4 linked regions of the Drosophila melanogaster genome follow. The protein of the gene in region 2 interacts with the protein of the main gene of each other region in a pairwise test. Each region holds a gene or a part of one and is shown on either strand. Other genes may lie near its edges. The genes, in order: dah, CG1635, CG14183 and Rif1.

What was found.
Region 1: the proteins of CG1635 (region 2) and dah interact in a two-hybrid assay, tested with the Drosophila melanogaster proteins (one large-scale study listed by BioGRID).
Region 3: the proteins of CG1635 (region 2) and CG14183 interact in a two-hybrid assay, tested with the Drosophila melanogaster proteins (one large-scale study listed by BioGRID).
Region 4: the proteins of CG1635 (region 2) and Rif1 interact in a two-hybrid assay, tested with the Drosophila melanogaster proteins (one large-scale study listed by BioGRID).

Annotation. Positions count from the first base shown.
Region 1 is NC_004354.4:15,325,687-15,332,918, forward strand, and holds dah (discontinuous actin hexagon), read left to right. Parts: upstream 1-2,655; 5' UTR 2,656-2,757; coding exon 2,758-2,986; intron 2,987-3,049; coding exon 3,050-3,266; intron 3,267-3,323; coding exon 3,324-4,181; intron 4,182-4,245; coding exon 4,246-4,363; intron 4,364-4,425; coding exon 4,426-4,585; intron 4,586-4,647; coding exon 4,648-5,015; 3' UTR 5,016-5,316; downstream 5,317-7,232. Other genes in the region: Top1 (topoisomerase 1), read left to right, coding at 1-52, 130-232; CG9114 (uncharacterized protein), read right to left, coding at 5,341-5,801, 5,858-7,232.
Region 2 is NT_033777.3:31,586,028-31,592,373, forward strand, and holds CG1635 (uncharacterized protein), read left to right. Parts: upstream 1-2,645; 5' UTR 2,646-2,725; coding exon 2,726-2,832; intron 2,833-2,892; coding exon 2,893-2,963; exon of another isoform or gene 2,964-3,016; coding exon 3,017-3,259; exon of another isoform or gene 3,260-3,318; coding exon 3,319-4,244; 3' UTR 4,245-4,365; downstream 4,366-6,346. Other genes in the region: rod (rough deal), read left to right, coding at 56-320, 391-1,216, 1,276-1,909, 1,970-2,080; CG1638 (uncharacterized protein), read left to right, coding at 4,591-4,709, 4,766-4,818, 4,872-5,114, 5,175-6,091.
Region 3 is NT_037436.4:20,022,919-20,030,411, reverse strand, and holds CG14183 (uncharacterized protein), read left to right. Parts: upstream 1-2,576; 5' UTR 2,577-2,650; coding exon 2,651-3,386; intron 3,387-3,440; coding exon 3,441-3,765; intron 3,766-3,822; coding exon 3,823-4,112; intron 4,113-4,174; coding exon 4,175-4,331; intron 4,332-4,379; coding exon 4,380-4,643; intron 4,644-4,714; coding exon 4,715-4,872; intron 4,873-4,956; coding exon 4,957-5,540; intron 5,541-5,601; coding exon 5,602-5,706; 3' UTR 5,707-5,725; downstream 5,726-7,493. Other genes in the region: Lamtor1 (late endosomal/lysosomal adaptor, MAPK and MTOR activator 1), read left to right, coding at 1,460-1,540, 1,603-1,766, 2,034-2,167, 2,227-2,297, 2,353-2,445; kug (kugelei), read right to left, coding at 5,927-6,063, 6,125-6,256, 6,430-6,459, 6,773-6,961, 7,020-7,301, 7,364-7,493.
Region 4 is NT_033778.4:15,862,819-15,872,173, reverse strand, and holds Rif1 (Rap1 interacting factor 1), read left to right. Parts: upstream 1-3,026; 5' UTR 3,027-3,167; coding exon 3,168-3,269; intron 3,270-3,354; coding exon 3,355-5,836; intron 5,837-5,897; coding exon 5,898-6,184; intron 6,185-6,272; coding exon 6,273-7,652; 3' UTR 7,653-7,865; downstream 7,866-9,355. UniProt on the Drosophila melanogaster protein: Regulates the timing of initiation of DNA replication. Functions in copy number control by promoting the underreplication of DNA, which is found in many late replicating euchromatic regions of salivary gland polytene chromosomes.

The sequences.
Region 1 (7,232 bases), on a different chromosome or scaffold from region 2:
CCCTGGGCACATCTAAGCTAAACTATCTTGATCCACGCATATCGGTGGCTTGGTGAGTGGTCTCTCCCTTCAAGCAGCACATTCCACTCAACGAGAACTAATATATATATATATATCATCCATTTGCAGGTGTAAAAAGCATGACGTGCCGATTGAGAAGATATTCAACAAAACGCAAAGAACCAAATTTCTGTGGGCCGTTCATATGGCCGATGAGAATTATCGTTTCTAAATGGGTTCTCCTCACAGCCACGCCTAGACACAAACACACAAGTACGCCGACCCTTCCTCCACCCACCACCACCCCTTCAGACACACACACAAACACACACTCGCACCCGATCGAAGAAGATGTAACAACAAACCACACCCACCACAAGGCCGGTTTATAAATAGATTCCATGCCAATCCCGCCATTGTTTGGTCCACAGTTTATGCAATTGATAGTGCATATGTCCAGCTTTCGGCCAACGCAATGGGGGATTGTTAGCCAAAATGAGCGGGACGGAATGCTGCACTACATCGTAGTCGTGGAACCGCTTGTACGCGTCCGTTTTGTCTGCTTTGAATGGGATTAATGGGATCAAGTGCATACTACGCCGAAGTCTAACTTGCGAAATGTGCACACCCAAACACAAGCTAATCCAATATATGTCAGTTTTATTCATTAAAGGCAAGAGGAGATGTGAAACCTGGGCAAGACGTCGCCGCCACCTAAAAACAAATCAGGAGCATAATTTTCTATGTCTCTACAAAAGAACTTTTTTGTCAAGATACCCTTATACTTCATAATTTTACATATAAAACATATATACATATATATATTTATATTTATGTATATAATAATATTTGTGTATATATTTTTATTTTTAATATAATACATACATTTACATAAATATATATATATAGATATATATATATATATAAAAATATAGATGTATATATATATCTATATATATATATATATATTTAATAGCAAAAGCAAACGAAAATTATACAATTTAAAACGCAATTTTTTTTATGTTTACCTATAGTTGATTTTGTTTAGCGAAAACAAAAAACAAAAACAAAAACAGGCATTTGTACATAACAAGCCAGCAATTAGTTACCAAATTAGATATTAACTAAATTAAGATATAATAACATTGTAAATAAATATAGCTGTAAGCCCCGTAGCTAATGCTATACTATCTAAGTTAGTCTAGTTTTGTAAACTATTCTATCTATCATAATAATAATAATAATTTGTATAAGTGCAAACTGAACAGAGAAACCTTGTAGCCCAACTTTTAGCATAGCATAATTTATTCAATTCAACTCTGAAGCAGCGCTATTTGTCGACCGACCGCCCCCGAAAATGAAGAACAAAGCCACATTGGATGGATCTCGATGTGGTTTCGCTTTGATTTCGTACCTTATGATCATTTTAGTTAACATTTCGAAATATACAAATGCTAAATTGATTTGCAGACAGACCCTTAACTTTCTATACTCTAAGCAGACAGGTTTCAAGTTCTCAACCGCAAACCAAGCCGCCATCACACTGAAAACCAATTGCAGATACAAATCAAACGAGCAATTCAAATAACTCGATGAACCAAAACAGAAACACAGCCAGCAAACCAGTCGCAGCGAAAGAAAGAACTTTAATCTGAAAGAAAGGAACTTTATACATATAGAATCTATAGAAGTATGTGCAATTAAGTGAGCTAAAACTATACCTTAAACCTTGTAAAAATCGAGCCTTCACTTGAATCCTTCAGTCGACGAGAGCAGTGGATTCAGGTGGAGTTAGGAACATCCCCAACATCCATGTGCCCCAATCCCATCAGCTACGATTATGGCCGTACTTTTAACTAAGCAAATCGATGGAAATTTATATCTCGCCTCACGCCCCCCCTAGCATAAATGGCAAACGCGCATTGCAAATGAAGAGCGAACGATCTTTATATACATACATATAAACACACACACACACACGCCCAAACACATATTATAATTAGTGATTGATATAATGTGAACGCAAACATCTGTGTGCGTTTGTCGTGGATTCGCATACGGAAGCGGGAGAATGCTTTTAAAAGGCAAAAAAAAAAGTTAAATAAACTAATTACGAACCCTTCTTCGAACGCCCAGCCCCGCCCCGCCCCGCCACAACACTCACATATAAACTTGGCATATTATAATATTGATATAAGCAAACAAAAAACAACAAGCGAAATGATAAGAAACCCACTATTTTAAATCGAAAGCAAAGTAAATGAAAAACAAAATAGCATAAGTGAATGTAATTGCAATGGAATGATGCAAATATACATAAAATATATATTTAATTTTAAAATCTATGTGACACTCTTTCCATTTCCTCGTTTTGGGTAATTATTCGCATTCAAAAGAAGGGTTTTTAAATAACTTTGTTTTGTTTTTGAAATTGGGAAAATACTATGGTGAACCCAAGTTGTTCAGTTTACATTTCCCGTTGCTCAAACTTATTTACCAATTATTATATCATGGTCAAATATTCTTAGAACGAACGGATGACTTAATTAATGATAATAATAATTTTGAATCAAATTTAAAGCGCTAACGGTTCGGCGAAGTGATATCGATAACACGCGCGGCGTTGCCACCTCACGCCACACAATTTGACTTTTGCGCTAACGGAAGAGGAAGAGATCGCGAGAAACGACGCGTTTAAAAGAGACTGAAATTAATTCGAGAATCAAGGGAAATATATAACAATAAACGCCTGACAAAATGCTGAGATCGTCGGTGCCCGTGCAGCTGACAAAACTGCGAAATAGCGCCGAGGCCGTGGCGTCCATTGCCCGCGAAAAGGGATCCCAAGGTGGCCAAGGACAAAAGCAACAGGTGGACAAAGAGCTATCCACCATCATGGATGACTTGCAGCGGGATTACGGGAATTACAAGTACACGGTATACCGGTGCGCCAGTAAATTTGTGGCGCTGCAAAAGATATTTCACAGTGAGTCAGTCGCGTAGGTGGTCCATTCGAAGGAGTCCCCAAGGATTAACCTTCAAATTGCAGCTGGAAAAATCCCCTACAAGCTGGTTTTGGCCATTTTGGATCGCCATAACTTGAGTGGTGGCCTGGAACTGATGGTTCCTCCATTCCAGTTGACCTCCCTGCTGCACGATGTATACTTTGCCTGCGAGAAACTAGGCCATTTCAACCAGGATGCGAACTATAAACTGGACAGGGCAACCGGGCTGTTGGCCAACTTCTTCTGGAATGTCTACGATCCGTGGGTTGAGTTTCTGGCATCTTAAGAATATGTCTGATATTTGATTGGTTTCGCTAGGCAACGCAGACACTCCATATCCCTGTTAGAGATCAGGATCACCTTCATACTGCTGTGCAAGCTATATAGCAGCGATCACCTGGTGGGCGACATCTTTGGCCTGCTGGCCGATCCCAAGTCGCAGATCATCTCCAGATATGCATTCGAACAGCTCCTAGCCACGCTGAGCAAGTTACTCAGCTATTTGGGCGAGGCCAAGGCCTATGGCGTCCACAATCTTCCGTTGGCTATGGAGCAGTGCTTTGCCCGCTGTCCGCATGGCGTTGGTGGACTGACCGAGCCGCAGTTCCACAAACTCTGGACGGGAGCGGGTGTCCAGACGAGATTCCTGATCTATGGCAATCTGCTGGCACTGGTGAAACGCATCGAGGACACCGAGCATTTGATTCACAGTAATTCTTGTGCCGGCTGCCGCAAGGAGCACATTGTGGGCATACGTTTCCGGTGTCAGGTGTGTAGGGATATATCGTTGTGCCTGCCCTGCTTTGCAGTGGGCTTCGCTGGTGGTCGCCACGAGCCGGGTCATCGGATGTGCGAGGTCTTCGTGGAGGATCAGCCGCCATTGCGTTGGACCCGCCACCTGGCCAGGCTGTGCGGCTGGCTGGTGATGCCGCGCAAAACACAGGAGGAGGAGCGTCGCGGCTTCTGTAATGCGCAGGAGAGTGGGCCCGCCTTGGGTCAATCCGCTGCCACGCCCATTCCCGCAGAGACGCGCAGTGTGCGCAGTCAGTGCCAGGAGAAGGACCGCACAGTTGTCCTGCAGCAACAGCAGCAGGAGCTCTGCTCCCTGACGGGTCTAGCCAGCGAGGCGTCCAGCAGGCTGCAGTCCATCATCGATCGATTGCTTTTGCAAAATGCGTGGGTGTTTTCCCTTCTTTCGCCACACTTGTTAGCCAAGCCTTAAGGTTCTCTTGCATTTCAGGAAGCTGGAAACCCAGCTGCAAACAGTGGCCACCGCATCTAGTTCGGAAATATCGCAGTTTCTGAGCGCCCATCAGTGCTTTCTGCTGCAGATTATCGAGGATATGCGACAGCTATCAGTGAGTTTTCCAAACATTCGGCCCATTTAAGCTGAGCTAACTCCATTTATATACACTTGCAGCATGCCTCAGCGGTAACTTCGCCGCCACCTGCGCCAGCTGCCCAAGTGGCGCCTTCAGCTGCGCCCCTAGTCAGCTCCACGTTCCTTAGCTCCAGCACGCCTCAGCGACAGATGCTATTCGACATGTATGCGCCCGTGGGTGCCAATCTCACGCACTCCAGTAAGAAGAGAACCTTCAACAGAGCCATGAGACAGCTCCACTAAGTTAATCGTTTCTTGTAGTAAATGGCGCCGACTTGAATCGCAGCTATCTGGAGGCAAACAAATCGGATTACTCGCTCAACGACATAAGCTTGTGGTTCGACCAGCGTCGCTCGAGTGTCCAGCCAGGACAAGGACCTGGTTCCCTGCCGGCTCCTCTGCCGCTGCCCATGCCGCTGGGTGCTCTACTGGAACAGCAGCCGGCAAACGGCGGAGATGGCCGCGACACCGAGATGGTGAACTTTAAGCTGCTGCTGCACAAGGTCAAGGAGATCGTCGAGGACTCGTACAGCGATAATGCCGAACTGTCGGCGGCCACGCAAAATCTGGAGAACGTTCTCGATAGCATCATCAAGAGCGAGGAGCAGCAGCGGCGCATCAGCACGTGAGGATCCGGATCGGATACCAACTCCCATCGATTCCAGCCAGACCAAGTCCACTTAGCTTTAAGTTGTAAAGTTGTTCTAAAGTAATCGTGACAAAATGACACAACCGAGTCATGCATTTATTATATCCTTCTTCCTTTTCCCATGTGCTTTAACATTCGCGTAAATGCTTTAATTTGTAAACTTACAACTCTGACAAGAATGCAATACAACAAAATGTTTTTATAAAAATATACAATGCAAAAAACACATTGTTAACAAAGCATTTACATACAAAATATCAACTTTGTAGATTTTCCAATGCAAAGAGAAGAAAAAAAAAACGCATTTACGCCCCATTGTCATCATCATCATCGGTGAATAGCATAGAAGCCAACACATCGCTGGCCATTTGTGCCTTGTGGAGCTGCGTCAGCTGCTCCCGGCGCTGCTCCACACTGGCTGCCGGCTCACTCAAAACCTTCCAGGCGTCCATCTCCTCGAACAGACTGTTTAGCAACTCCATCTCCATGTCGGCAGGCGACATGTTGTGCTCAGCGACCTCTAGCACATTGAGGTTGCAGTGCAGCTGGAGGAGATCGCGCGTCAGGCGATGCAGTAGCAGACGCAATCGATCGTCCGTTCTGGCGTACACATGCCAATGCTTTCCGGGATCGTCGCGAAGCAGCAAGGTGTCACACCACTGTGACTGCGGCTGGCGATTGTAGAAAATACGCTGGACAGGATCGGCGGCGATGTTGGAAGACTGAAAGTGAGACCCAGGCTCACTGTCGTCCAGCAAGTCGGAAGCTGTAAGGGATTATGAGTTAAAAGGGACAACAAGTGGTCTTGACAAAGCTACTCACTCGGCTCCTTGTTTGCTTCCTGGGCTTGGATCAACTGAAACTGCAGCGTGGAGACGAGTAGCTGCTCGAATGTCGTGCAATCCTGGGCCGACTGGAACTCCAATTTCAGGGAGCAACGTGCCGTGTGCGTCATAATAACGGCCAAAAAGTCTTGGTGCAGCGTGGCGGGCGAAAATGTGGGTGCCAACGATTCTGTTTTATCGAGCAGTTTCTTCACATCGAAGGTAATGAGATGGATTTGCCTAGGGGATGCATCCTCGCCCATCTCGTACGTTGCCATCAATATGAGTTTCTCTGCCTCAAGAAGATCGACCAGACGCAGGCTCACTACCATCGCGGCAGATCGTTCCGGCGGTAGTATTCTTTCCTTCTCCACCGGTCGCCATTTGAGACGCCTGCTATGCTGATCCTGGCAGGCCCAAAACTGCGCCAGCTGGTCGTAGTCCTCGGGTGGTTGGCCATCCGCCTGCAGAGGCAGCTCGTACAGGCGGTGCTCCACGCTAAAGTCGGTGTGTGGTTCGATTACAACAATCGGATACAACTCCTTGACTATGGTGAGGCGATTGGTGCCAGTTATGTTGACTAGCAGAGTGCCACAAACAAAATAATCGCCGCAGATCCGAGTCCATACATCGCCGAGTCGTCGGAGCGGCTGCTTCTCCTCAAGGAGCAGCGAACGCTGGCCCGGCGTGCCGAAGTATAGAAGGTCTTGGACGTGGGCTAATTCCTTCTGGTTTTGCATTCGCTGGCTGTCGAGCTCGGCTTGGGCGCGGTGCACCTCCTGCAGCAGGTTCTCGAAATCCTTCGCGGGCAAGCCCGCATTTTTGGACGTGCTGGGCTCCTCATTTAAGAAATCCTCCTGGAAATCACAACGCTGACGCTTGCCATTGCCGAACTCCAGTTCCACAACGGCCTGGAAGGAAATGGGACCTTCGACCATCTGGTAGTCCACCACATCCTTGTGATCCGCCACCAGTTCGAAGTTGGCCCCGTGATCCTTGGGCCTCTTTAGGACGACGAGATGCTTCCAGCACTGAATTAACAGGTAGATGCCCTCCCGTTGCCACACAAACTTTCCAAATTTGAGGGGCAAATCCTCCGGCGGATCCAGCATGCTCCAGTCCACCTTTTCGTCAGTGGGTTCCTGCTTGGACAGAAAGGGACAAACCGGTCCGTCGTAGGCCTCCAGTTGGGTGGCTATTTGCTTTAGTTTCGTGACCTTCAAATCGATGTAGTGCACCAGATCCTTGCGCCGGAATTCGTAGAACTTTAGGTTTCTCGCTAAAACCAATGTAGTGGGGTCATCCCGCGGTCGGCCCACGTGAAGATTGGCGCAGAAGGCCAACCGGGCCGGCTGGAGCAGCATCTCCGGCAC
Region 2 (6,346 bases):
AAGCTCACTGATGCCACAAATAATCTTTTTTTTAATATCTTTGCAAATCGTTTAGATCAACATTTACTTCTACGAGTTGTACATGTGTGTGATCAACATCCTAATGTACTTCGATTCGGCTCCGAAGGAAATGGAAATCTGGATGAACATTTTGCACTTCCTGAGACACAAGATGATCACCAGAAGACGCAATCGGCCAGGTCAGGTGGAAACCGACACGTGGCTGAAATCACAAAGGGAAAATGGCGTTATGCCGAAGATATCTCGATATCGTCTGCCTTTTAAGCCCATCGTAGAGCAACCTCTTAAGGATATTCTTGGTATATTCAACTGAAATAGTTTAATGCTTAATGCTTCTGTTTAATTATAGTTTCCGCTTCTTCTATTCAGACAGCGAACTAAACGTGGACAACTGCCAAAGCTGGTTTCCACTGATTCAGATGTACACGGCTTTGAAGGGATCCAAGGATAGTTCCCAGAACTGTGACTACTTCTGCATGTCAGCAGTAAAGAATTCGATATCGGAGTACAAGTCGAAAAATGATTCGGAATCATGGAGTCTTCATCCCACGAATAATGCCTTCCTGCAGTCAATACTACGACTGGTCGAGAAGGTGAACAACCCAAACAAGGCATTTCTAATACTGTACTTCGTGTCCAACTATGCTCGTGATGGAGCCGATCAGGTGGAGGCCTCCTACGAGTGCTGGAAGTTTGTCAAGGAGAAGGGCCACCTGATTACAGATCCAAAGAGTCGCGAGCAGGTTGCCAAGGTGAAGCGACGGTATCCTATTCAGAAGACCCAGCACCTGCTGTATGTCTATGGCCTGACCGATGAGAAGCTACTGCGCCAAGTTGAGAACCCCACCGAGCTTATTCAGGCGCTCTACCACCATGAGCTGATCCTCAAGTCCAGCAAAGTGGATATTAACGCTCTGGTCGCAGAGATAGCCAAGCTGCACGACCTCTGCTTAGCCACCATCCAGTACCGCCTGCTACAGAAGTGGCTCGCTCTGACTATGGAGTCTGCGGGTGATGGTACCATTTTGGAGGAGACCTTCATGGAGGAGCAGAACTGGCCGGAGCAGGCCAACGGCGCAGAGTCCTCCAACAGCCAGGACGCCAGCGAGAACGTAAATAGAGCGTTTTACATACTTTCCAGTTGGCCAAAGGCGGAGGCAGTCAAGTTCCTTGTGGGTCTGATCTTCAAGGGCGGGTAAGGATTGGTACTTAAAAGTTAGCGAAAATAATTCATTGAATAAACCCTTCCACCAGTTCGGTAAACACCTCCACACAGCTGCAAATGTACGAGTGCTATTCCAAGCTAAACGATGGCAGCAACTCCTTTACCAACACGATTAGCCAACGCCAGTTCATCAGCATCAAGTGTGTGCACGAGCTCAAGGCTCTGGGCTACAAGTCGAACCTGGAGAAGTTCTCCGACGACCATTGCAACAAGATTGACATTCTGAAGATGATCTGGCAGCGTAATGCGCAGAATCCCCTTTCGCTGGAAGTCATGGCCAACATTTGCCTGGGCTTTGATATACACTTGCCGCAGATCTGGAACGGCATTCTGAAGCGCATGGTCATGTTCCATATGGTGCGCGAGCTGAACGCCTTGTTGGATGTACTCAGCTGCCGGCCGCATCTACTTCACCTGGATGGACTGGCCCAGGCCTGGGACTATGTGCTCTGCCATCCTCTGCAGAACGCAGTCGAGCTACGATCCTTTAAGCAGGAAGAGGTGCTCCACAAGACGCTGCTGCGCCTGCAGGGCTGTCCGGTGGTGCACGCCCTCAACCTGCTACAGTTCGCCCAGCTCTGCATCGTCGTCCATCGACCGCACATGGCCGCCTCTCTACTCAGCTTCTGCCAGAGCAGCGAGCAACGCCAAAAGATCAAAAAGGTATGCTCGAACCGCGCACTTTAACGAAATGCTCTATTGTCACTCTAACTCTTCTTGCAGATGATACATTCCCATCCGGTGGAGAACCTTCGGCAACAGATCTTGGATCTGGAAGATGCTGGTATTTTGCCGGTGGTGCTGAACTTTGCGCTCAAGGAACTAAATCTGTAAGCGTAGAGATTTGGATTTTACTATTCCCATAATTTTTTGTTTTATTGGTCGAATATCTGCGTTAAGTGCGTTCGGGTCAAGATACTTTTGTAAATATCAAGGTTTTATACCTGCAAATATAGTTTATACAAACGATGACTATTTTCTATTTTAATTTTAATATGTTATTTTATATACAGTAGCAATTAGTCAATATTCAAACAGTACAATCTCTTAATTTCATAATTTATGCATCACAAAACAATGTGTTAATTTGAGAAATTGTCTAGGGAACTTCGCTTCCCAGTTTAAAATTAACAACAATCGGGATGACGTCATACGTATGTATCACTTCTGTAAACAGTGGGCTCAAGTTGATGGAATACTGAAAATAATGAGATATATTAGGATTTTTTTTAAATGAAGACTTTGTTGTGTAAAGAACAGTCAGTCTCAAATCAATTTAATTAAAGTAAATGGGAAAAAATTAATATACTAAAGAATCGAACTTTTCGAAATTAGTTGGAGACGAATTTTCTCGAGCCCACTGTACCAGTCAGCTGTGGCCGCCAGCTGTTTTCTATTTGGGGTTAGATCAAAGACAGGTTACACTTTGTATGTAACTTGAAAAGCAAGGAGAAAGCTGCGAAACTAAGTTAAACCGAGATGATGCGTTCTTTGATAGGAGCACAAAAGTGCTGGGGCCTGATCCGCACCAGGAACTTTATGGAATTACCCACCAAACAGGTGCCAGCATCCTTCGCATTGTTCAAGTAAGAGCAAAAAATAAATGATGAGCTTACATGGTAAATGAGTACTTTCATCTCTAACAGGCGTCACTACTCACCGCCCACGCATATCAAGCAATCAGCGGTCGCCAATGAATCCGGAACCATGGCGGAGGGTAAGTGTTGTCTTGCCAGAGTCAAACCCATCGTAATCCCCGAACGTCTGCAGTCAAGCAGGGGATGATGAAGCGATTGGGGCTGGAGCCCGGTTACAACCCGCTGCCCAAATCCAGGGAGCAGCTGCTCAAGTACCAGCCGAAGCTGGAGGATCTGCCTCCAAGAGCTATGCAGGATTCCTTCACCTCGGCCATCATTCCTCTGAGCACGGACCGCAGTTTGCAGGACAAATATGTGACCTATCTGGGCAATGTGCGATTCGGGCGACTTCTGGAGGACATGGACTTGTTTGCTGGTATGAGGAACACATTTGCTGGAATCTTGGCGCACTTTCTCACTATCCGCTATTTCCAGCTTGGTGCTGTCATAAACACCTGGTTCTGCCCAATCTGCCGGAGGGAGTTCATCTGCCGTACACCTTTGTGACCATTCTGGTGGACCGCATCGATTTCACCAATGTCTTGGCTTCAGGCACCCAAGATATCCGTTTGTCTGGGCACGTTTCCTGGGTGGGAACCAGTTCAATTGAGGTGGTAGTGTGGCTGGAACAGATGGTTGGCGGGAGGTACCAAAAGTTAACCCGTGCCTTGTTCCTGATGGCAGCAAGAAACGCTAACAATACCGGAGCGGCTCCTGTGAACCCCTTACAGCCGGCCAACGAGGAAGAGAAAGTGATTCTGGCTGGCGGCGCAGATAGAAAGAAGAAACGTCAGATTCTCTGTGCTCAGTCCATCTTTAAGGTGGAACCCAATGACCCGGAGCAGACAATTATGTACGAGCTGTACAAAAGGACAACTCCCACCAACACTTTGGAACTCAACAAGCGCATCCTGCCACCAAACTGTCGCTGGATGGAGGACTCTTTCCAGATGAGCACTATTCCCTCATTTCCGGAGCACAGGAACCACCACAACCGGGTCTTCGGAGGCTTCCTCATGCGAAGTGCCCTGGAGATAAGCTGGGCAGCAGCCTACCTCTACTGCAAAACGCGACCCAAGCTGGAGCACATATCCGACATCAGCTTCGAGAAGCCCGTCAGCGTGAACAGCTTCATCAAGATGACCGCCTATGTGGTGTACACCAAGGAGAACTACGTGCAGATCATGACCGTTGCAGATGTGATGGACCCACAAACGGGCAGCCAGGTGACCACCAACACGTTCTACTACACCTTCTCGTCTCCGGACACGGTTACCGAGGTGCTGCCCCGCTCCTACCACGAAACCATGTGGTACATCCAAGGTCGTCGAAAGTTCGAGGCCAGCATGGGCCCAGTGTAGACATGGTTCAGCCTGTGATTGTTACTCAAGATATTATGCAAGGCTATCCTACCAGATAAATGCAATTACCAGTTCAGTGTTTACAAAAAGCAATAAATGTCTGTTGTTTAATGATGTGCTTAACCAACCAGCTTAAAACTTTTAAAATCTTCTATTAAACCCTATCGAAGAGTACTAGATTAAATGTTTATTAATATAATAACTGTCAAAATAATCCCTAATTTTTGCCGACTTTACATTTTTTGGATACCCATTACCTGTAATCAAAAAAGCAGAGCTGAAGCAAAATTTATAGTTTTAATTTCGTGTCGGATCTGAGTTCAGATCTCGATCCCGATCCGTTTCCATGGGGCCTGGTCTTAGAAATGTTAAATTATGTGTTGTACCTTTTTTGCTCGGAGCCCGCAGCTGCCGGAGCTTGTTAAAGGCCAGGACCCTCAGGAAGATGACACATAAAAATTCCAGGTGAAGCACCAACACAACTAGCAGAAATCAGATTTTATAGGCCACATTTCTTCTAGCTCTAATGGGCGTAACTCCTCTGCGGACGGTCAATACGCCACTATGACGGAGAGTAAGTACTTCCATTCCAGAAATAGGTGCTACTTGTCCAGATATCCCTTTTAGTCAAGAAGAAGATGCTGAAAAGCTTCGGCCTGGAGCCTGGGTTCACCACGGAGCCGAAGTCCAGGGAGGATCTACTCAAGTACCAACCCAAGTTTGAGGACTTACCTGCGCGATCTATGCAGGACTCGTTTTGTTCGGCCATCATTCCTCTGAGCACGAATGCAGTTCTGCAGGACAAGTATATCAACTTTAGAGGCTTCGCGCGCCTTGGCAGGCTTCTGGAGGACATGGACATCTTCGCCGGTACCATCTAGTTTGGCCAAAGCCATGTTGTTGAATAATTGTCTGCTTAATTCTTCGTAGCTTGGTGCTGTAATAGGCACCTGAAAGTGCCCAATCTGCCAGAGGGAGTACCCTTGCCGTACTCCCTCGTGACGGTCCTGGTGGACCGGATCGACTTCACCAGTGTCTCACCCCAGGGCACCCAAGACATCCGTCTGTCTGGCCACGTGTCCTGGGTGGGAACCAGTTCCATGGAGGTGGTGGTATGGCTGGAGCAGATTGTCAATGAGGAGTATCAGAAAATCACGCGAGCTCTGTTTCTGATGGCGGCGAGAAATGCCACCAACACAGCTGCGGCTCCAGTGAATCCCATTCAGCCTGCCAACGAGGAGGAGAAGCGCATCCTAGCTGGCGGGACCGACAGGAAGAAGCAACGACAGCTACTCATCGCTCAGTCCGTCTTCAAGGTGGAACCCAACGCCGAGGAACAATCTCTCATCTACAAACTCTACAAAAGGACTACTCCCAACGAGCAAACCGGTCCGCGCCGCCTCCTGCCTCCCAACTGCATTTGGATGCACGACTCCTTCCAGATGAGCACTATTCCCTCATTCCCGGAGCACAGGAACCAAAACAACACTGTCTTCGGGGGATTCCTCATGCGCAGTGCCCTGGAAATTAGCTGGGCAACAGCGTTCCTCTACTGCAAGGCCAGACCCACGCTGGAGCACATATCGGACATTAGCTTCCAGAAGCCGGTCAGCGTGAACAGCTTTATCAAGATGACCGCGTATGTGGTGTACACCCAGGAGAACTACCTGCAGATCATGACTGTTGCCGAAGTCCTGGACGCGTACACGGGGAACCACGTGACCACTAACACGTTTCACTATACCTTCTCCGCTCCAGACGCGGTTACTGAGGTGCTGCCTCGCTCCTACCACGAAACCATGTGGTACATCCATGGTCGCCGCAAGTTCATTGCCAGCAGAAGCTAAGCCTCAAAAAAAATTCCCGCTCAGTTTAAATTCACGTAGTCAGTATTTCTTATAGCTAATGTACACAAAGACTGGATTAGTTTGAGCAAATCTTGTAAAATATGTTAACCAAACTGTGCCAGGTGATATTTCCTGATCCAAAAATCTATATGATGCCTATTAAATCGAGTAACTATTCAAATTCCTTATCGAAAGCAGAAAGCGTATAGTTGGCCGTTGGCCCTGGCTTTTATTTCGAATACCCAGTTGCGTGAA
Region 3 (7,493 bases), on a different chromosome or scaffold from region 2:
ATGTATAATGCATAATTTGTATATAATATTTGTTTTCCTGGCTGGTTAGTATATCATCATAAATCTAAAAACAATGGACTTACTCAGCTAATGAGCTGTCTAGATAAAACCCAACATCCTCGAAGGAAATCCCTTAGATGGCGTATCGCAAAATGACGATGTAAGATGCCTATTCCCGGTCGGCAAGCCGCAGACATATGCACCTCCTTAGATGTACTGATCGATATCCTTTGGGGCCGTGTGCAGGCGCAGGATAATTGAATTTGAAGTGAAGCTGCTCCTTGTGGCAGTTATGAAATTTCTAGCCCGGCTTCCGCTGCCAGGGAACGGAAACAAAAGCGGGGCAAAACGAAGTTACAAGTTGCCAGCAAGTGTGAGTGTGCGTCTGGCTCAATATATGGGCATGGTGCCGGGTCTGGAGGTGGCGCAAAGGATCAGGATGCGATGACGAGGCCCACATCAGTGCTGCCAGGAGGAGACAATAAATTCACTTAGGCGGCGGAAACAGAAGAACAAACTGAAGGGAAAACTCAATAAATTAGACCGTATTGGAGAGAAAAACTGTTTTTTAACGGCCATATTAAGTTTTAAATTCTTATGAATCTTGAACTTTTTCACTCTACGTAAGATATTCGAAGAACATCAGCCCATTCAGAAACCCCAATATTACACATTATGTTATTATGGTTTTACATTTTTCAGAGGTTCTTCTTGTGGAAAGGATAGCAAAAGCTGTCAGCACTGCCACACATGCCCCCATGTCATGCAGCCTCGGCAATGAATTTGCGTTTCCGCCTCGCCGCTTTCGCCATCATGGTTAACCGCGTCGTTGATTTAAGGGCGTTCTCCGTTCCTTGCGAGTAGCTGGCGTACTCCGCATCCTTTGTCCTTACTGCTCGAGCGACACAATTAAAAATGTGCGGCCCAATTCATTTGATTGGCACGAAGGAAGCGACGAGATAAGCAACTTCCGTTGGCTGAAATTTTGGCATCTTCATCAATCAAGAATGTGCTCGTTCTCGTGGGCTGGCTGTTGGGGAAAATGTCATATAGGTTGATAGAAAAAACAGCAATATAAATATTTCAAATTAATAATTGATGTCTACCAAAAGCAGTTAAATTTTTTAATATCTTCACAATTATTGCCGATTTCCAATAAAAATATAACAAATTAATAAAGTATAAATTTAAATCAACTTAATTCCCAATAAAAAGTATTTCATAATAAATAAAACAAGGATAACGCTAGGAACAGTAAGTAATAAACTAGTATTCCCTTATGAAAACCCATGAATTTAATGTCCGATTAAAATTGTAATATTTAGCGCCTAATCGATAACAAGTATGTATACAGCTGTTTTAAACTGTCTGGTAGCACTGATCTTATCGAATATGTACAATTCCATCCCTAGAAAAACTTGCATAAAAAATAAAGAACAATTGAACAATTGCATTTAGAATGGAGTATGTGCACTCTGTTTGGAGCTACCTAGCCTCGATCTGCAACTGCTGGCAATGCACCGAAGATCCAGGTGCGCAGGTAATCCGCACATTCCCCTTTCCCCGTCAACAGACCGAATACACAATGCGTTCCATCTGCAGCCCAACGAGCCGAACGAGCGGACACACCTTCTCGTGGACCCGGTGAACCATAGTCCTGCCCTTCGACGGAGCAACTCCGATGGCCTCAGCACCGACTACGCCCACTCCCTTCCCAAGAAGGACGATCAGAACGCCCTCTCCAGACTGGTGCAGAATACTGCGATGTACGTAGTTGATAGTGTATAGGGTCCACATTTGGCACTATCATATACAATTCCATTGATTGGAATGCTAGCATTTTACAGCGATTGCTATACTATACTATACTATAGTAGTATACCTACGTAGTTATAGCGATGGCAGGATCTAGTATGTAGTATGGTTATACCCAAGCATTTATCGGGATGTTCAATGCAACAAAGCAACACAGCCCTAATTATCGCTTATCTATATTATATTTGTATTCGCTTATACGCTACTTTGCTCTCCAGAAACATGATAAACGTTGGAGCCATGGACTGTCACAGCCTGGAGCACCAGGAGTACGCCGATAGAATAAGATTGTACTCGCAGCGGTTGCATCAACAGTGGAACAACGGCCAGCACGCCAGTATCGCACCAAAAGGTTTGCAATATAGCTAGATTGAAAGGGTGAATGATGACTAACAATTAAATGAACAACAGGTCTCCTTAAAGATGTACCAAGCCATCAGTTCTATCTGTCTAAGCCAACCTATCCAGATGACACTGCTCAAGTGAGTTTTACTTTTCGCAAATTGCTTGTTGCTTACCAATTTCGTATGTTTTTAGATGAAGCTCTTCACCGAGAAGGCACACATCAGTGTCTCGCACATACAGATCGACCACAAAGAGGCCGTGGTTGTTCCCTTCCGGATTCCCTGATTATCGTATCTTAAGTGAAATAAAGTGATAAATTTATATAAAATCAAAATCTATATTGGTACTAAGTAGCCCTTGAATAACCAGGTAATCGACTTATTTTCATTAAGTGTACAGAAGCAAATAAATACATACTATATTCTTAACACGGCAAGACATTTTTTTTATTTAGGAAGGCACACACACACACATATAGCTAAAATCCAAAATGTCGTTCGATCTTAACCATAAATTTTGGGTCTACACGCGCAAGGAAATTGGTAAATTAATCAAGAAGCAGAACCGCCTGAAGAAGATTGAGCCGCCAGAGGAAAAGGCAGTATCGTATAAAATTTACGCAGAGCTCTATGTTTTGTATGTGGAGCTGGTCAATAAGTTAAGTTTCATATACCACAATACTTTCCAAGTGCAAAAGCGGGCATTGGTACGTGTTTTGGTGGAGAATGCCACTCAGCAGCTAATGCAACTCAAGGAGGAGTTAAAAGACTTGGAAATGAGCGAATACATTTACATAGATAAGGCGCTGATCGCTAGGAAGCTAACACCACGGGACCTGGTCGTATGGAGGTCACCACAATTCCTTTACCGTCGCCCGTTGGACATTCAAAATATCATTGCCGACAACCGATTGTACATGAACGATGAGGAAAAGGAAGAAAAGGCAGCCCAGGATTGGGTTCCGATCAGTGAGGCGGTCAAGCTTATCCAAGCTCACGAGAGGGCGCGCCGAGCTCGGGTTTACAAGTCCAACATAAAGTACGACAAGAAAAAGTTCCTCAAGGTCCATCAAAGAAAGAAAATAAATTACAAATTCACCTTTAAGCCTGATCAGGCAATGAGTATTCCCGTGAAGAGAACCATTTTTTCAGCTGACTTCTTGAAGGCGGACGAGTCCTGCGAAAATCTTATCAAAAAGGATGATGTAGCGGATACCGCAATAGATGGCAAGTAGCTAGATCGTTTCAAAACAATTAATTTGGTTTTTAATTATTTTCTAGATGAGGAAGCCTTAAGTGCAATACAGAACAATGCTGCTTGTAAAATCCAAAGTTGTTGGCGTGGTTACAAGACGCGGAAAATAGTTAAGATTAGGAAGCGGTTCAAGGAGGAATTGTATGGTATGAAGAAAATTAGGAAACTGAAGCGACCCAATCAGACGGCAAATTCTATTATGGAAATGTACAAGAACGAGATGCTCAAGAAGAAGCTGGATGAGGACTTCATCAACTTGATCAACGATGAGCGCACCCGATTGCTGCAATTCCGAAGTCCATGGATGATGGAAGATATATCCGATCATATCCGGGCATGGTTCAAGGAATTGTGAGTTGTTTTTCATTGAGGCAAAAAAGGCAAAAACGTATAACTCGTACTTAACAGCTACGACGCGACTGGGAATTTTCATCCTTATCCCGATCCTGTAAAACAAGGAACGGTACTGGTTGTCATTGATGAAACAATGACGCCAATGGAATTTCAGGAAAGCCTTGGTAAAAAGCCGCTGTCAAAAGCCGAGTTGAAGAAACTTCGCGATAAGGAGAAGAAAGAGAAAAGGAAAAAGAAGGAAAAGCTAAAACAACTGAAAATGAAGGAAGCTAAACGTCGGAAGAAATTGAGAGACGCTGGAGTCATCGATATTGGCTACGAGCTAACTGCAAGCAAGGCAATTGGTAGATAGTTTGACTTAATGGAGAATGTTTCCATTGTCTCCAAATACTCTCTTCAATTTTAGAAAACATTGAAGAAACAATGAAGAAGTACTCCAAGGACTGGAGAAATGTCGATGAATATCTAAACAAGAATCATGATCCCATCAAGGAATGGGTTACTGAGGAGCAACTGGCAAAGATTCATCAGGAAGTGAGGGGCTTGGTCGACGAATACATGAGGTAAATTTATTTATATTTACAATGAAAATATAACTTTTCAACTTCCAGGGTTGAGTATGAGTTGCTGCGGGAGGCCTTGGCGAAGGATAACGATGAGAAGTACAAGGCTCTCAAGGTGAAGTATCCTAAGAAGAAGAAGGAGAAGAGGAAGAAGAAGCCCAAGGACATGACAGGCGATCGGACACTGGAATCCCTGTACAATGAGCTCAAAGATGCCGGCATAATAGAGGAAATTGGTCATAGGGACTTTGATGAGTTCATAACGGACTTCAACTTTGTGGCAGACGACACTCGAGATGAAGATGGCTTAACGTATGTTGTAGTTATTTGTTGAAAGAGCTACTAAGCCTAACAAAAAAAATTAATATCGATTTAAAATTCAGCACATTGGGCCCAGCAAAGGGTGACATTAAAATGGTTATCCAAGAGTCGATGCTGGGAATGGGCGAATTCGATGTTCCGAAGCCGAAGTCTCTTTTGCTAATTGGACCTCTGAATAGCGGAAAACGATTGCTGTGTGAAATCATTGCATCCGAACTAGGTATAGTAACATTTTGTTGGGAATTGTTCTTTTTTTTTTTTTTTTTTTTTTTGTCGGAGCACTTAAACCTTCTGTCTACTCCAGATGCAGTTTTTATGAACCTAAGTCCCGAGAATACCTACAAATATGCCAAAGACTTGAAGTACTTCCTGCATGTTATTCTAAAAGTGGCTAAGGCTTTTCAGCCCACCATAATGTACATCGAGGAAGCGCATAGACTATTTTGGAAAAAGGTTCCGCCTGAGGCAGTGGAGATTAACCCCAGACTGCTGGGCACCTCGTTAGCTAGCAAGATCTTGAAACCACTGAAGAAAAATGACAAAATTGTACTAGTCGGCACGAGTAACATGCCCTGGGCGGCCAATGGAGGCATCAAGCGAGCGTTCCAAAAAGTACTGCTTATTCCGAAGTGCGATTACGGCACTAGCTTCCTGCTGTGGCTGGAACTGATGACCGAGAACGCGCCAGATGACATGAAGGAGTACGCCTACTCGGCACTGGCACGCGTCCTTCAGGCGTACAACTCCGGCGACATTGATGATAACGTTAAGGAGACCTTGAACATCGACCGTAAGATGCGACTCAAGAATGAGGCATTGGATCCGAACGAGTTCCTTGAATATTTCCTGAGCAAGAATGAGCCTCCCATTTTCCCTCCAGATGAGAAGGTATACTTGCTTACTTAATACATGTTTAGCAACTAAGTCATTTAACTGAAATTCTTTTTAGATAATGGATAAGTTCAATAAATGGTTCGGCAGCTCAAACAAGCTGGAAAAGCTGAGAAAATCGTATATGGCTCAAAAGTTGGCGAAGGCAAGCAAAAAGAAATAAATAAATCAGTTTAAAACTTATTTAAATATGCATTTTCATATATAACTATTTGTAAGTGTAAACTTACCTTGGCCTTAAACTAATGATACTATGGAAGTGCAGATGTTCTTTGTGTCTTTTTTATTGAAAATATATAACCAAAGTTTTCCTATGGAAAATAGTATCTAACGAAATGAAATAATTTGTGTAAAATGTAGTTCTTATATATTAAGCATGTCATTTAATTGTTTGTTTGTTGTTGTGGTAAAAACTCCTCCAACTCAGAATCTTCAATTTCACACAGTCGAACCGAAATGTTGCTGTTGGATCCAATTTCTCCGACAGTGCATGGAAATAGGTATGCCTCCTCTGAATTTTCTGCATAATTAGAGAGAATCGTGATATTTGTAAGATATGTAAAGGCATTTCCCTTGCTTACCACTTATCGTCCTCCTGGTTTTTATTTCCATCCTAGAAATCGGCCCCTCGGTCATAGAGCTTTCCCCATCGGTCTCACTTGGAAAATGCATCGTCGGTAAATACGAATCAGGATGTCTTAAATATACTTTGCCTGTGGAATAGATCAGATATGGACATTTTGAAGTAAGATTCTTGTAACATTTTATGTGGTTAATATGCAGTAACAAATATTTTTAATTTAATACAGGTTCAGTATAAAAAAAGCATTGACCTAAATTTATAAATAACCATTGGACTATTACTTATAATGAATACAAAACTTACACGAATGACTAACTTTCGACGGTAAAGGCACTGATTGCATGAAATGAAGTAGTTTAATAGGTTAGTATACAAAGATGTTATTTGTTAGAAAGTTTAAAGGAATAACAAAATTACTTATAAGAGGAAAGAGTTAGATATTGTGTGCAATATGTATTAAATAAATTGTTGAAATTATAAAATGAAAAATGAACTGCGATTTTGTAACAGCCAATAAGATAAATCAGCTTGTTATGAACATAAACATGAAAACGTTTAGTGATAATAATCAATTCCTTTTTTTTTTTTTTTTTTTTTTTTTTTGTATTTTATTAGATGCATTTAACATTTTAACGAAGGGTTTTACCTGTATTTGATTTATAGTCTTCATTCTCGATATTATTAAAAGAACTCAGTCTTGAAAGTGGCTGATTACTTGATCTTGGCAACATAAACGGCTCCAAGCAGCTCTCTGCCTCCGAGTCCAAATACTCCGATCCGATATCCTCATTCAACGCGGCTATATCCCTCGTCGGATCAACATCTCCGTCTTCCCCTTTTGGTGGTGAAATCAGTTATTGGTCCGGGAAACGAGTTTTAAATTCTATACTTACTGTGCACGAAAAAGGCTTTCTTCGACTTGGACTCGTTGCTATCGTTGCTGTGTAAGCTCGACGAATCAGCTATTTCTGCTCCAGGAACTTCGGTTATATCTGGCAAGGGATTATGGCTTTTGCGAACCCAGTCGGAACAGTCCCAATGATACTGACCATTGGCAAGAGCTGAATAATCAACGAAATTCGCACTGGAAGAGTGGCACACGTTGGGCATTTCAACTTGGATTAGTTTCCCAGTTGAAAAGCGACTCACAGATGGTCCGAAATCCCGTTTAAGTTCTGAAATAAAGAGCAGGTTAATATTTGCTTTTGCTATCTGACACTAAGAGGCATTGACTTACCATTGTTCAGTTTATTTTCACTGAAGGTTCTTAAATGCATTTGCTCGCACCATTCTTGTTTGTAGGCATTATCTGCATCGGTTGAATGGCAGGAGTTTATGTTCACATGCTGTTTGTTTCGATTAACCTT
Region 4 (9,355 bases), on a different chromosome or scaffold from region 2:
GTCCTCACCAGTGGCCTCCACGCCCAAGCCACTGCAGCCAGAGATTTTGGAGCCTCCAGATAACGTCCAGCCAGGAGGGTCATTTATAATTCGGCCCACCTCCGACTCGCTTCTGCCGATGATCAACAGGCCACTGTCCGAGGTTCTGGGCATCAAGAAGAACCAGTTCCAGGAGACCCGGGTGCGTGACCAATTGCCCACGCAACAGCCTCCGCCTCCACTGCCGGAGGCCACGTCCCGTAGTCCCGCTTCCGGACATCAGTTCCTAGCCAAGGTGAACCTGGCTGAGTTCCCGACATCCGGAAGGACGCTCCAGACGCCGCTGATCCCCAGCACCCACGACTTTGACTTCAGCCGTGACAACACGATGCTGGACGAGCGGTCGCGGGTGCGTGAGTTGGAAAAGCAGCGGGAGCGGGACAAGGAGCACAACGAGGCCACCAGCAAGGGAGCCACCGAGGCACACACCATAGCCAACGAGCAGCTGCTCTCCAAGACGGAAGTCATCAATCTGGCCATTGTGCCACAGTTTGACGAGGACTTGGAGCGTCTACAGCGGCTGCAGGAGAATGGTGGTCGGCGCCACCATAGGGCGCGACATCGTCATCGGCAACAGTCGGAGGAGGAACTGTCTGGCATCCATTGCATCATGCAGGTCATGATGGGCGTGGCCGCCGTGTCGACGGTCTTCGGCATGCTGGGCACCTTCTTCAAGCAACGCATCCTCGATCAGCTGCGCATGATGCACTGGTAGTACAACAAGGGGGATTCGATTTTCGGTGTCGAATGCCCCACATCCCCCCACCCAATCCCCGTTTCCTGCATCGTCATGATCATCATGCAGTCTATGGAGGCTGGCTAGCTGCCTTCGGGATGCAAGGTCCTTCTTCTACTACTAGCACTCATATACTCGAATATATACTCGTACTCGTACCATATGCCATATGCCATATATTAATCGCATAATCTATGTAACACAGCGGCATCGATTTGCTTTCGTCCCCTTCCGCTTCCTTATATATATTTATATATACATTTATATATCTATCTTATCCTTCGACATTGTGCTCGCAAATGCGGACACTTCCTTGCTACACATGTATTCTATATATTCGCATATATCAATTTACTAGTGCAAGCTACCCAGGCGATGTACATAATAACAGAACCATAATACGGCGATCGATCGATCCGGATATCTATGTATTTATGTGAGACGCAACTGTAGCCCCTGCCACACTCCGCCGGAAATTAGCTGACCCACGTCACTTCTTCCCCGTTCCTTCTTTCGCACGTTGTGTGCCCTATTTTCCCCTCCCATGTAGGACATTCTCAATCACATCAGCGTATACAAGCTTTAAGCAAGTCATTGCATGTGCCACGCCCCCTCGAACTGAACTGAACTCAACGCCCAACCCGCCCAGCATGAGTCCCGCAGCAAATACATTCCCTCCATCCCCCCACCATCCGTCATCCGCCAGAGGAACCAGTCGAGGAGCTCGGAAATTGAACGTAGAACAGATTCCTTTTGTAGATAGAAAACGAAACAGTTGTTGGGAGATGGTAACCAGACGAATGTCGAATGACAAACGATAAATAATGATAAACTAAACTAAAGTTCTAAACAAAACAAAACACAGTAAAATCGCACAGAAGCGCACGCATTACAAAATACAAAAACCTGCAACGGTCGTTTTAAACGCTCCGTTCAGTTGTCTCAAAGAAACGAGTAAACGATAATAAGTGCATAACGAAAACCTTCTTTAGTCTAAGTTGCTCAAAGGATAAAGTATTTTGATAGAACCGGAAAGGATCGAGAAACAAACCAATAAACCACAAAGAATCGAATTGAATCGTAACGAAACAAAGGCCCCAAACGTGTAACGAATTTCCAACAAATTGTTGCAAGTGTTTTCCTAGAATTAGTCCTAATTAAACTAAATGTGTGCAAATCGAAGCGTAACTAATATTACAATTAATCTAAACTAATTGAGGAAACATAAACCTAAACATAAATCGGATAACAACATCTAAGCTGGGTAGTCGCATGTAAATCTCTAACAATTAACAATTACCGACCTAAGTTAGACCTAAAAATCGAAACAAAATCGAATCGCATTTAAAGAAATCTACATAATAATAATAATTTATACTAATCTATATATACTTATATGTATGCTGTATGTATGTATGACCCTATATGTATATGTAAAATGTTTTTGACTATTTTTCACTATTTATATTCATATATATTATATATGCATATACGATACATGTGTAATAGCCCCTTTTGGTCATTTTAGTTGTCTTTTATATATATTTAATACGTGTATTATTTTTATTAATTATTCAAGTATAACTATGCGCACCAATTAAACGCATACCTTATGTATAACCTATTGACAAATATATATATATATATTATGTGTAATAGCTGTTGCTAAACCAAGTTTAATTATCAGTTTTTTATTTAACCTTTTTCCGGCGAAGCTTTCGACGGTTCACAGCCGCAAAATTGTGTTCAGCTAATTAATTAGGAAGAGAACGTGTCCCGAGCAATAATGGGGGAAATGACAATTATAATATTCATTTCTGTGTGTAACAATTATTTCCTAATAAAATTGACAAAGAAAAATGTTTAAAATTAAACGAGTTTGTGTTTTGCAACTATGTCGATCCATAAAAGGTGCAGATTCTGTATGATTTGCAATTCCACGTTTTAAATACTTTTTAGCTTGTAATTGGGGAGTTTAAAATGTTTAAAAATCCAATTGAGTCCCGCCAGTTACAAAGTTATTTTACGGAAATCAGTTGAGGACGGCGGTTCTTGAGCTCTACAATATCGAGTAAAAAGCAATAAACGAGTAAAAGCTAAAATAATAATAACGGTAGTCCTTTGTGATGTTGCTAGGATTTTAAATTTAAATTATTTTTAACTTCCGGCGTTGCACAAGTCTGGCAACTCTGAGTTTCACAATTTTGGTATTTTCATACTGTCGGCGATAACTTGTCGATGACATATCGACCTGCTTTTGCCACCTCTAGCCATAGCAATTCGCGCGCTTTTTTCTTCGACAGTCTTTAAAACTGCGGGAAAATAACTTGTGGCGTTCGCAGGCGGAAGAAAATAATATAATTAAATAAGCGTATCATCCAGCGTACGAGCCATGGATGTAGACTTCGGCGCGCAGGCGGGGCAGTCCTACCGCACGGTGCAGCTTTCCGCGAAAGAAGTGCTCGCTGCTGGCCGCCGTCAGCATTATTGCAACGTAAGTAGGGCACCCAATTGCAGCGCCAAGTATGTATCTCACTATAGCTCCGGCCCCCCACCTATATTTCCATGTGCACCACCAGATGATCGACTTGTTGGCCAGCAGCTGCAAAAGCTCCGGTTTGATAGCCACTTCCTTTACGGATGACGAACTGGTGGAGTTCTGGCTGGGAGATATCCTGCCGCTTATGTTCGATGCGGACCGAAAGATCCAGGACTGTGCCGTGGCAGCTCTTGCGGAGGCACTGGTGGCTCTTGACGTGTCCGTTATCCACTCGGCCAAGTGCTGGCCTCAGATCCGCAGTGAATTTGTCGACAAATACACCATCATCATCGGGGAGATGCGCGATGCTAAGAACTCCAACTGGCACAAAATATGGACGCTGCTGGTACAAATCATGGACGAGGATTTGCTCAGGGGCTGTGTATATATCAACAAATTCTTGGCTCTGGTTGAATTGGGCTTCCGCAACCCGGATAATGGTGTGCGGTCGGAGGCATTTCTTTGCTGGCGCGTGCTCATCAAGATCTTTGCCGCCTACGACGAACTGACATCCGCGAAGAGGCTTCGTTTGCTGCTGATCCCCCTGCGCACTTCACAATCGCGATCCTCGCACGTGAGTGGCATCAAGTTGCGAGTGTGGTGGTATCTGCTCAGCTGCCTGGACCACGAGTTACCCAAGTCTTTTGACAGCGCCGTGGAGCACTTTTTGGCTTTTATGCTAGGCGGAGGTCCACGAAATCTGGCTACGGGTCTGGCGCACAACTACCAGACGGCTCGGGAGTTGGCCCTGCCCTGCCTTGTGGCCCTTTGGGGCGTGGAGTCCAGTGAACCGTTGCAGCGTCTAATGAGAGAGCTACGCTTGGAGACCTTGGTCCAGCCCTCGCCTCTGATGAGCGTAGAGGTATTCCAACAGCATTGGAAACCTCTTTTGGCCGCTGCCGTTTCCGGTTTAAAGTTGCTTACCGAGAACGATGCCACAGAAGCGGAACAACTCCTGCTGCAGTTGCTCGTGCGGAATCTGTGCCTTGCCATGTTTCGGTTGGCAGTTGCTCCCTTCAATGTGGCGTGCTGCAGTGAAATCGAGAAAATCCTGCAGGCTGAAGATAACTCCGGTGGCCGAGTTGTACGCGCTCTTTTCAATACCATAGCCGCAGATAACTTGGTAATGGAGCGTGTGTCTGGAAGCGACCATCTTGATGTTCTGGAGGCCTACTTGAAACTTGTACTGAAATCCAAGACAGAAGTTCCGGCAGCAATTCTGCAGCGAAGTATCGCATGCATTTTCGCAGTCGATCGTATCGAGGCGAACAATCAGAACGAGTTCCGGATGCTGGGCTCCTTCGCTGAGCTTCTGATGCAGGCCAACGACGAAGAGGACTTTGAGGGATTCGCATTCAAGCTGCAGGTGTGGCGACAGGTGTCGCAGGCGTTGTCCAACTATCTGCGAAACAATGCGCTTGAATACCGTGTGGCACACAACGCTTCCCTTTTGGACACTTGGCTTTTATGGCCACTTCAGACACTGGCTGCCTTTGCGGGACGGCGTGCTAGCAACTCCTTCGATGCCTCTTTTTGCGATCAATGGCGCCAACTGGTAAACGCAGGCCAAAACGCGCCGGGGAGGAAGAAGTTCTTGACGGACCTGAAAGCCACACTTACAGACCTCCTAAAGAGCAAGGATGAACCGCTCTTTGCAGAGCTCTTCGATGCTTATGTGACCTCCTTAATCAAGTTTGGACTCTGTAAGGAGGCACCTTTGTATAAGGACGTTTTTGGGCTACTTCAAACCATTTTCGAGCAGCCCTCCTCCCAGAAAACGCTCGAAGCCTGTTTAAACACCCTCCGCAACCTGGTGGTGGAGTTGCGGCAAAACGAACTAATGGTAGTGTTCGATTCATTGAAACCAACATTGTCTTCTGGCATCCAGTGCTGGAATAAGATGAAGTGCGAAGGCGGATTCTTGGAGGAGTGGAAGCGGGGAATTCAAGAAAAGTTTCGCAAGCTACCCATGAAGACGATGGCCAATCAGCTCAAAGAACTCTTTAAGGCAGATGATCTCTTCGTGATCATCCCATCAGTGTGGAGTCTGAATCCAGAGAAGCTGACGGATCGTCAAAAGGAGCGCTTCGCTGAAAAGTCGGACATTCCAGCTCTGTACAATGATATGTCGCAGTCTCAGGACTCGGCTTCCATTAAGCCCTGGACCCCTAAGAAGGTGGTTATTGCAAAGAGCAAACAGGGTGAGCTGGCCTTAACCGGCAAGGATGACAACGGCGAGGTGATCGATATAACGGCCAGCGAGGAGTCTGAGAAGGAACCAGTGAGAGTTGACGTAGTTACACCCATCCGAAAGAAACCGGGGCGTAAGTCCCAAGCTCAAAAAGAACTCGAGGCCGCTGCCAGGGCTGCTTCTCTTGCCGAGGAGCCGCCAAAGCGTCAGACGCGAACACGGGCGGCTCAAAAAGAAACGGAACAGGTGGCTCAGCCACAGCCAGCGTTTGAACCACAGCTCAGATCGCCAAAGAAATTGCCACCGTCCCCGGTCGTTCAATCTACAGCAGGTACGTGAAACAAGTAACAGGTGAGCTAAGGATGTTAATCCCAACACTTGAATTTTTGCAGCTGCCGTTAAGCAGGCAAAGGTTGCAAAACCCACCCCCGTTGTGGTAATCGCGCAGAGCGAGGATCTTTTCCCGGAAGTCGCAGCTGAGCCAGAGCCTCAGCCAGAACCGGTTAAGAAACCCGACCCTGTTCCAGAAACAACACAACTGACCCCGCCTGATGTACCCTTGGAAGCTGTACCCTCTACCCAACTGCCTGGAAGCAGCGGAGATCCTGCCGCTTCTGCGGGGGCTGTGGCTGCCGGTGAGATGTCTCCAAAGAAATCAGGCACGCGAATATACAATTTGGTAAGTAAATCGCATTAGACTTGGTTAAAACGGTTACTTTATTACAATGTTTTTATGAACTTTTTTAATTTCCGCCTTCTTTTCGCAGAGCTCTCCACCTGATCGCAAGCAGACAAACAACTCCTCGAGTCCAACATTGCGGCCCAAGCCCACGGGACATCTGACTGGACGCGGTGCTCAGTTGATCAATATGATTCGCAACAAGAAGCTGGACGCTGCTTCCGGCTCGCCGTATGCGTGCATGTCTACTTCGCGCCTGGTTCACCAAGTGACGCCGGCCCGTGCCCAGGATCGCGCCGAGCAGGTGTCCACTCCCACCAGCGAGCTAAACGAGCTGACGGGCACGGATCACACTTCCACACCGATTCAGGCACCTCCCTCGAAGGATCTATTGGTGTTTTCCAAACGACTGCCATCCCCATCGGCCAGTCCCTCCGTAAGCATCTTGAAGCGCAAGCTACGATGCGAAAGTCTCGATGATGTTACTCTGGACTCGCCGGCTCTAAAGCGTAAGCGAGTTAGTTTCCACGACCCACCGGTGTCCGTCACCAAGGAGTATCTACGCGATGCTGAGGAGACGCGCAGCAGTTTGAAGCCCAAACGCTGTCTGCTTATGGACAAGGTGGCCCAGACCACCGAGATGCGCCAGGCGTTGAGGAGACGTGGTCGGTTAGACAGCATAATCGAAATAGAGCGTTTCGCTAGCGAACAGACGGCCAGAACAGCGACGACGGACAAGAGCCTGGACAAATCCACTGGCGAAGCACCCGAGGAGGATGCTTTCACCAGCTTAAAGTGGAACGACACAGGCAACGCGCACAACATTAGCATATCCGAAGAACCCGTCAAGGCGATGGAAGTGGAGTCTGAACTCGAGACAGCCGGCCAGGATCTAGCCATCATGGATCCAGAAGCCGCTCTTGATCTGGCGGTGGCGCAATTACCGCTGGAGTCGGTTTTGCAGCGCTACTTTGACAAGAGTCCGCTGAAGAGCGCCGGCATGTTGGCTAAGTTTCTGTCCGCCCAAATGACGGCAAACGAAAAACTTAAGACCAACGTGCTAGAGACTCTGTCGGAGAACCACTCCAAGGATTTCCTGGACCACGCTGTGCGCGAGAATCTGTCGTCGGTGGTGTGCGACCGCCTGAACCCGACCTCTGTGCTGGAGTACGTATGCGCCAAGTCCAAGATCAGCGCAAGTTGCCGCAACGGGCTGCTGGCCCAGGTACCCGAAATTCTGAAAAGCGGCCCACGTTCCGATTCTGAGCGCCTGGCCTTCGTACAACAACTGATGGTGCAGTGCAGCCCCGGTGACGACCTGCTCCTCGATCTCATTGACCTTCTGATGCGTACGCGTCGGGAGCGGAACAACAGCACCTCCACTCACATCTCCAAGGGCGTCGTATCCGCCGTTGGAAGCCCTGACAACGTGGCCGAGACCGCGGCCGACTCCTCATCAAACTTATAGATTGGACCTGACTTGAAATTACGAATGAAATATTAAGCACTTGGCCATTGAACTCGATTAAGTATGGGAAGTTCGATTGTAACTAGTTGGTTCTAGATAGTTAAGTTTAAATTGCATTATGTTTAAGATTTATATTATGCCCGTTGGTGTATTATGTTTTGCTGCAAAAACTTGCTTCATATTCTTACAATAAATTTAATATTTTATTATTATAAAAAGTAGAAAGTCATCAATATATTAGATAATATATATATATTGGTGGGAGAACTTATTTATTTTTAAGTACATCGATCATAATTCCTATAGATAAAGGAAAACAGCAAAAGGAACGAATTTGATAAGAAAACCCAGACAATTATTTTAACTTGTTTTCGAATTAAAATTAGTGTATTTAACTCTGGGAGTTCATATACTCAAAAGTCCACACTGCAGACAATGTTACCTAAAATCGTAATCGATTGCCATATAATCTAGGGAAATCTTATCAGTACGTCAAAAGTGACGTGACAGATACGTTTCCCATCAGGCAGATAAATAATTAGTATGATTTGTGTTAACTTCGTGTTAGCTATTCAGCGAGTTCAATGGTACATTGATCAAATATTGTCAGGTAATCATGATGGAATTGAAACGACTATTCTGAGTGATAAAGTGGTGCTGAATAGGTGTAGGGCATTCCAAAGTCTTAGAGTTGCGCTTTTTAGGTGCTTGTGATTATGCTGGATACTTTTGGGGGTCAGGTAGTGGCACCTTCAGTGGAGGGCAAGCTCCACGTAGAAACCTCCACTGGTGCCGGCCCAACCCTATCTGGTTGATTTGTTGTTCTGGTCGCGGCAAAGTCAAATTACCCCGCCATGTCCGCCGCATCCATTGATAATGTTCACGTGCTAGCAAACAACGCGTCGTCGCCGACATCGGCAGATAGAGATACGTCGACTGGCGACGCCGACGATCTTTAAAATATATACACTACACTATATGGCATACATGTGTGTAGGAATACGTCTACGGCGACGTCTTTCGCTGGCATTTGTGCAAATACTACAATATAATATTATGTTCCAACGTGGGCGGAGCGCTCTACACGCCACGGATGCGTGTTAGGTGCTCCGTCGGTGCTCCAACAAAGACGTTGGATACTTTGTATCAGTTACAGGCGGCGTGATAAGTGCGCTTTCGGCACAATTAGCCAGACGTTTTAATTTGGGAATGCCAAGGTCGTTTGTAGGTCTGTACTTAGCACTGCTGTTCGTAGGATCCCGATCGCCAAATCGGCGGATCTGGCCGCCCATATATATAAATAGCGATGGAAAGTTCTTGCCCAATTGCGCAAGTGAAACTGACCTACCTAACCCAGGCCATCTCGTGTACGATGACGCAGTCCGTCCGTACTTAAGTCTTCTGCTCCGTCTGCTCTCTGTCTGCGGAATCGGCCAGCCAGTCAGCCGATCGAGAGCACAGTCAAATGTGTCTAACCCTCCCCTCGCAACAAAGATACTACATATTCATACGCCCCATGGACCGGTCGTATCCATATGTGATTCATTCATAAGCCGGGTGCCCTCGAAACGCGTGAGGCACTTGTGAAATGGCCTCTCTTATCAGGCGGTTAGTTCCCGAATCGATTTCGATGGCGAGCCGTGGAAATTCACGGAAGAGCAGCCTTGCTGGCCCGCGTTCCTATCAGCAGCACTCGCCGCATA